Drosophila melanogaster: one gene and its partner. The protein of the gene in region 2 interacts with the protein of the main gene of each other region in a pairwise test. Each region holds a gene or a part of one and is shown on either strand. Other genes may lie near its edges.

Region 1 (3,894 bases), on a different chromosome or scaffold from region 2:
GATACTGGAGGAATTCAGGAGGATACCACTGGATTATGTGGTTTTAGACCCCGATCGTCCTACAGAAACAAGACAAACGAGGAGAAGGACGGATAGCTGTACGAAACCCTCTCAAAGGCTGGCCAACCAAGATTCGCTGATTGTCTCCGAGTTTTTACCTGCCACCACAGCCCAACCACGACTGGATCTATCCGACTCTCAGCTGGAGCAACTGGAATCCCCAGCATACGAGATGCGCACCGTGGACTATGCTGCCGTCGAACTGAAACACTACAACCTGGACGAGTACAACGAGGCCAATCGCCTGCTGGACGTGGAGCCCAGTGGCAGCCAGGCCATCTACAAGTGCCAGTACTGCCCACTGGCTTATGCCTCGCCTCAATATCTGAAAACCCACGTGCGCAATTCGCACGTCTGCAAGTACTGCACCACCGCCTTCGCCAAGGTTCGCGATCTCAATGAGCATATTCGGCAGAAGCATCCGCATCACCAGTGCGTTGTCTGCTCCAACAACTTTAGTACCAGTAGCAATCTGAGGGCTCACTTAAAGAAAATTCATGGAGTTCAGCTGCCCGCACAGGTGGCACTGCTGGATTACAGGCCAGCCAGTCAGGATCGGGATAATCCGCGCTCATAATAAAGATTATATTACATAGTTACATTGGTCTTGTTTGCTAGTTTATTTGCCAGAATATCTGAGACTTTTCTCGGACAGGATCTCCCTTTTGGATGTCTACGCCATTGATGTACATGGGCGTAAACTCCCGGTAGGCTACACAAACGCGGCGCTCTTGGACATCCTCGCGTAGTACAGAATGCTCAAACTGGTACCTCGCTGGCCCATACAAAACTATCAAGGAGAGGCTGAAAAGCAGGGATAGTAAATTTAACCCGGAAGAGAAGGCAATAAATAAGTAAACTTACTTTGGCATAGGTATGCGCAGCACCTTTCCCTCAAAAGTTGCAAGTTGGTCATCTGTCAGTAGAGGCGCCAATAGTTCATCTTCGTAGCTGGCAACCAAGTCCAAGTTGTACTTGCCCGATTGTTGAACTTCGTAGGGCGTCAAAGTGAGCACTGAGTCGCCGAGGCAGTTGACAGTGACCACACGCTCGCCCCAGATCCAGCAATCGTCCACGTGCGGATCTATGCTGGCTCCTTTGCTGGGCTCGTACTCCAGGGAGCACTGTTCGATGGTCTGAAAGCCACGAAGCAGGGGAACGTCTTCGAAGCGCCGTTGCACATATTCCGTTGTCCTGGGGAATCCGGCAAAGGATCCCAGCCGCAGTTTGCGCTTTTTAAAGTTGGTCTTGGGTCCGAAGTTCTGTTTTCGCCTGCCGCTCTGCGAGATGTCCCATGGCAGGTCATCCAAGTCGGCTATAAGTTGGGCGCCCTCATCAACGCTAAGGAATTCCTCCTGCACCAGGATGCCCGGCAGTGGGAGGCCCTCATCTTTTTTGTGATTTTCATGATCCTTTTGGACATGATTGGTATCCCAACCGCGCTGCAGAAGGTCGCACTGGATACAGTAGGACCATGCTTCCAGTTGCTGGAATTGTTCCCGTAGCGAGGTCTTCGCTATATGAAAGTCCTGTTCGCAGCTCAAGCAGGTGCGAACGCCCTTACAACCGCAAGGACGAATTGTATTCATCCTGAAATTGGGCAAAAGCACGTTAATTACAAACAGACTGCCAGTGTTACCGGATGTTCCAAATATACCGGCTTCGGTATCGTAATAAAATACCAATCATAGAATTAATGTTTGGTAAATACCGACCAGAATTTCGAAAATAATCGTAATAAAATACCAATCATAGAATTAATGCTTTGGTAAATACCGACCAAAATTTCGGAGAATAATACCTAATTCGGTCTAGTATGCTCGGATTTTTCGCTTTGTCTCACCACGGGTTGTCATCCTCTATTTTTGCATCGTCATCGGACTCCGAATCCCTTTCATCAACCTTCAGCTTGCAGGTGCAGTGCTGAGCATACCTAAGCCAAAGTAAGTTGAATTATCGCCCACTCTACCGCGTTACTTTACTACCGGGAGCTTACGCCCATGTACTGTAGATGGTCTGGCTGCCACTGGGCTCCACCACCACGCGTTTTTTAGTTCGATAGCAGCATGCTCCATGCATAGTCCATGCTTATAAGACATTACAATGTGAAACTCTGATGAGAAAATGTTTATAAGTCGAAATTAATTTCGTTATATGGCGGTTACCTTAGCCAATAATTCCTCATACTTTCAAATTCATTAGTTTATAGGACAATTAACTTAAACTTTCTCATCTTCGCTGCTTTGCAGAAGGTTGCAGCTAAACCGAAGACCGCTCCAAATGTAAAGGGTGGCCAAGATATGTGGTCGACCGACCGTACCAAGAAAGCCAACTCTTTAACCAACCCAAAAATAGCAAGAGGAAGTGGAATACGTTATTGATTATGTTGCCTCCAAGTAGGGCGGAATGTTCAATATAAGACGGGAAACTATGGATCAAATGATGATTCCCGGGATTCAAGCAAGAATTTGGCTTGCTATGCATTAATCAAAAAATAACTCAGCAGAAGGTCAAGGGCCTACGCGAATTGAATAAGATTCTTGAAGCCAGGAATGCCATCACTTCGACCCCCAATAATGGCAAAAAATCCTTGTAGTGGATTCGGATGATAATGCTAATGACTCCGATGTGGACCCTAGTGCCGATAAAGAAGCAAGCTGAGCATGGCTCCGACTTTATCCGTTAGAAATGGCAAGAATGCTGCTGAAATGGATTCGGAGTCCGATGACGATGCAGAAATGGAGAATGACAAATCAGTACAACCCCAGGTGAGATTATTATTATATAGATTATATTAGATTAAATTAGAAAAATCAAAGCACACAGATATATAACCCTCAGTTCATTCTTCGAAATTCTGGCCAGCATTTACATAACATTGATGGTATGATTGGTATTTTACCACGAATAAACTGTTGTTAATGTGTTTTTACGCAATTTTAGGATGAATACAATTCATAGTTGCGGTTGTATGGGCGTGCGCACCTGCTTGAGCTGCGAACAGGACTTTCAGGTAGCAAAGAGCTGCCTCGGCGAATCAGTGCTCTCTTTGATGCCCTACGAAGTTCAACAACCGGGCAAGTACAACTTGGACTTGGTGGCCAGCTACGAAGATGAACTATTGGCGCCTCTACTGACAGATGACCAATTTGCAACTTTTGAGGAAATGGTGCTGCGCATACCTTTGCCAAAGTATGTTGACTTATTTATTGCCCACTCTTCCGGGTTAAATTTACTATCCCTGCTTTTCAGCCTCTGCCTAATAGTTTTGTATGGACCAGGGTGAGCCAAGCTTTGGAGATGGAGGGCAGGTCATCGCTATCTTCTGCCGTTTGACGAGCCCTAGCCTTGCGTCCACATTGGAATCACTATCATCATCATCCGAATCCTCTACAACGATTTTTTCCCCATTATTGGTGGTCAATATGTCGGCAATCCTGGCCTTGACGATCTTAGTCAATTCGCGCAGCTCCTTAACATCAACGTTCTTCTGAGTTACATTTCGATTAGTGCATCGCAAGCCAGATTCTTGCTTGGCTCTCAGGAATCATCCTTTGGCCCATAGTTTTCCATCTGATCTTGAACATTTCGCCCTCCTTGGTGGCTACATGATAAATCATTTTTCCACCTCCCTTTGCTTCTCTGAGTCGGTTGAAGCGTTGGCTTTCTTGGTGCCGGCGGTCGGTCGACCACGTACCTTGGCCATCTTCACATTTGGTGCGATTTACATAGCTGCAACGTTGCAATTATTCGAGTATGAGGAGTTTTTGGCTAAGGTAAGAGAGTTTCACAAAGCATAAATGTTTATTCGTTAATATATTTTCAATTTAGGCA
Region 2 (3,917 bases):
TTTTTGGCATAATCAAAACGGTTTATATGTGGCACTCATGGCTAACAAGTGGCACTCAGACCATTTTACTGCAGCTTTTTCTGTTGCTCCTGCTGCTCCCTCTTGGCCGCATTATTAATCCGCATGGTCTGGACAAGCTGCTTGGCCACCCCAGCGAGCAGTATGATGTGGGTGAAGTGAAGGGCAGCGCTGGAGAAGTTCGTACTGGGATAGGTGTTCCAGCAGTACTCAATCAGTCCGAGGATCAGGCAGCGCACGCCCAGCGAGTACGGCGTCGACCAGGCCAAATAGGGTAGCGAGTGGAAGTACCAGACGTAGAACTGATAGTGCAAGGATCGGGAGCAGGCCACGCCCACCAGGTTGCACAGGAAGAACGGCAGCAGGGCCAGCTGGGTGCAGCGATCGAAGTGGATGCCATAGCGTTCCGGTTCCGCCTGTGCGGGTGCCGGAGTGGCCTTTCCTCCAGACGCCTTCTGCAGGCTCTTCTCGAAGGCCTTCAGGAAGGATTGCTGCTCGGTTGTAAACTTCTTCTGGTCCTTGTCCTTGTCCTTTTCCACTTTCTTTGGTCTTTTCTGCGCGTTCAGCTCGAGGTTCTGCTGGGCTATTTGCGGCTGCAGCTGATCCTCAATACGGCGCAGGCGCACGTAGCTCTGGAAAAAGGTCCAAGTGGGCTTGGCGAAGGCCAGCAGGAGCAGCAGATGCAGGCCCAAAAGCGAAACGTGGAAGGTGCGGTTCTCGAACAGATCTCTGCTCAGGAAGCGATAGTTGACCGTCCACTTGTGCTCGAAGATGCGTCCCAAATCAAAGCTGCCCCGCAGATACTCCACAGGATGGGTGAGCAGGAAAGGAGCGCCCAGCAGCAGTTGTATCACTCCGCAGACAGCCAGCTGCAGGATCGTCCGCAGAAGTCCCAGGTTGGCCAAGTAGAACAGCAAGAGCGCAGGCGCAAACAGCAGGATGTTCATCTTAACGCCCACCGCCAAGCTGAAGAAGGTGCTACCCAGGGTCCACCTTCTGTCCAGGAACAAATTGAGTGCGGCATAGAGGAGCAGCACTGCCACCGGATCGTTGAACAGTCGCAGCACGTATATCGAGTGGATCCGATACGACGTGAAGGCACTGAGCACTAGCACATACGGCGGCACCTTTCTGCTCTTCGAGTACAGCCTCAGCACCAGGGCCAGCTGGAGCAGGTAGATCCCGGCGAAGATGTACTGCGCCAGGCGAACGTTCGTTCCGTGGGACGTGACGTAGTAGAGAGCCGAGTAGATGTACACGAAGGCGGCTGGATACACAAGAGGTCCTGTGTCGCCTAGGAAATCGAAAATCGAAGAATTTCAATTATCATAAATTAGATAGAAGGAATGCAATTAGTCATTGTTTTCATTCACTAAGCAGTTATTTCAGTCTGTTTGGGCCTGGGAAAACTATTATATCCATTGAGTTACACTTCATATTTATTTTAAAGGCAAAACTTTAGTTAACTTATTTAATATACGGCTTTTTTAACTTTAACGGTATATAACGATATTTCATTCGCTTTCACGCCGGTTGGTATTTTCGCTCGCTACGCACGCGGTCACATTGAGCAAGTGCGAGTGAGAGAGAGAGAGACAGACATTCGTAGGACAGCATGGATGTTACGGCATGTTGTTGAAAAGCTGAAAATCTGATACTTTTATGGAAAAATGATGATTTCGTGTAAAAAATTATTCGTGTTCCGGCAGCTGCCGGCGGTGCGCCGTTGCCTAGCGGCAGCCGCGTTCTCCACGCCACGCGCGACCTCCTACCGAATCCTCTCCAGCGCCGGGAGCGGAAGTACCCGGGCAGACGCACCCCAAGTGCGCCGCCTGCACACCACGCGCGACCTCCTGGCCAAGGACTACTACGCCACGCTGGGCGTTGCCAAGAACGCCAACGGCAAGGACATCAAGAAAGCCTACTACCAGCTGGCCAAGAAGTACCATCCGGACACGAACAAGGAGGATCCGGATGCGGGCCGCAAGTTCCAGGAGGTCTCCGAGGCCTACGAAGTGCTCAGCGACGAGCAGAAGCGCCGTGAGTACGACACCTATGGCCAGACGGCGGAAAACATTGGTCGCCAGGGCGGCGGATTCCCTGGCGGAGGAGCCGGTGGCTTTGGCCCCGAGGGTTTCTCGCAGAGCTGGCAGTTCCGCTCGAGCATCGACCCCGAGGAGCTCTTCCGCAAGATCTTCGGCGAGGGCAACTTTCGAACGAACTCGTTCGACGACTTCGCCGACTCCAAGTTCGGATTCGGCCAGGCCCAGGAGATGGTCATGGACCTGACCTTTGCCCAGGCGGCGCGCGGCGTTAACAAGGATGTCAACGTCAACGTGGTGGACCAGTGCCCCAAGTGCGCCGGCACCAAGTGCGAGCCGGGCACCAAGCCAGGTCGCTGTCAGTACTGCAACGGCACCGGCTTCGAAACGGTGTCCACTGGGCCCTTCGTAATGCGCTCCACTTGCCGCTACTGCCAGGGCACGCGGCAGCACATTAAGTATCCGTGCAGCGAGTGCGAGGGCAAGGGCCGCACGGTCCAGCGCCGCAAGGTCACCGTGCCGGTGCCGGCTGGCATTGAGAACGGGCAAACGGTGCGAATGCAGGTGGGCAGCAAGGAGCTGTTCGTCACGTTCCGCGTGGAGCGGAGCGACTACTTCCGGCGCGAGGGCGCCGATGTGCACACGGACGCGGCCATATCCCTGGCCCAGGCGGTGCTGGGCGGCACTGTGCGTGTCCAGGGCGTATACGAGGATCAGTGGATCAACGTGGAGCCGGGCACCTCGTCGCACCACAAGATCATGCTGCGCGGCAAGGGTCTGAAACGCGTGAATGCCCACGGACACGGCGATCATTACGTGCACGTCAAGATCACGGTGCCATCGGCAAAGAAGCTGGACAAGAAGCGACTGGCTCTGATCGAGGCGTACGCCGAGCTGGAGGAGGACACCCCCGGGCAGATCCACGGAATCGCGAATCGCAAAGACGGCAGTAAGCAAGCAACGTAAATAATCTCCCGATCTACCAATGCAATCTCTAAATGTAACTTGGAGCTTGAATTCGTAGTTGAAATATACGTGCGTTCTATGTGCGAGCTTTATTAAATGATGGCGTCTTTCTCTCCCCTTCCCCATCTCTCGTTGCAGCGCAGGAGCGAGTGAGGAGCCAGGAGCGGGAGCAGCTGCTAAAGCCAGTGCAGCAGCCGCCGGATCAGGAGCCTCCAAGCCAGGACCAGGAGCAGAAAAAAGCGAAGGCAAAGACCAGTGGACGGACAACGAGAAAACCAAAGCGAAAGAAGGCGGCGGATCCGGATCCGGACAAGGCGACGGCGGAGGCGGAGGCTTCATAAGCAAGATCAAGTCCATGTTCAACTGACAGGCGTTGGCAACCCGATGGCCGATTCTGTTTTTTTAGTGTCTAAGTTAACGCACGTTATTGTTGCTAATCTAAGTTCGGGCGGGAACCGGGGGAGTGTATTCCAAATACGACTCGGTTCGAGATGAATAAACCAAATTGACCGTCAGTCGGGCAAGTTCTGCGTTTAAGCGAGGCTAACTTCACTTGTCTTAATCTCACGCTGCTCCGATTTTCAGTTGCCTAAAGTTCGTGCCGCATTTGATGTCGTCCAACTCCCCAAATCTCTGTGTTTAACCTTTGATGGTAACTGTGTTCAAACATTTGAACCATATGTCAAACTACTCTCCTCGATTTTGAAAATACTTCAAACTTTAAAGTAACTGAAATATCAATTTTATAAGAATTCCAACTAAAAAAGAGCATAAACTATATAGCTAGTTGGAAATAGGCTATCCCCTTAGTAAGGTAACCTAAAATATCGTTATAACCACATCATGCGAAGAACAACAGGTGCACGCATATGTTTCCGCAACCGGAATGGG

The links.
Region 1: the proteins of CG5504 (region 2) and CG4036 interact in a two-hybrid assay, tested with the Drosophila melanogaster proteins (one large-scale study listed by BioGRID).

What each region holds. Positions count from the first base shown.
Region 1 is NT_033779.5:9,788,725-9,792,618, reverse strand, and holds CG4036 (uncharacterized protein), read right to left. Parts: upstream 1,738-3,894; 5' UTR 1,718-1,737; exon of another isoform or gene 1,651-1,717; 5' UTR 1,650-1,650; coding exon 925-1,649; intron 865-924; coding exon 675-864; 3' UTR 661-674; downstream 1-660. Other genes in the region: CG13123 (uncharacterized protein), read left to right, coding at 1-637.
Region 2 is NT_033778.4:23,705,466-23,709,382, forward strand, and holds CG5504 (uncharacterized protein), read left to right. Parts: upstream 1-1,615; 5' UTR 1,616-1,688; coding exon 1,689-3,022; coding exon of another isoform or gene 3,023-3,026; exon of another isoform or gene 3,027-3,120; intron 3,121-3,164; coding exon 3,165-3,393; 3' UTR 3,394-3,561; downstream 3,562-3,917. Other genes in the region: Alg3 (ALG3, alpha-1,3- mannosyltransferase), read right to left, coding at 66-1,312. UniProt on the Drosophila melanogaster protein: Involved in hh/hedgehog signaling. May act as a tumor suppressor in larval imaginal disks.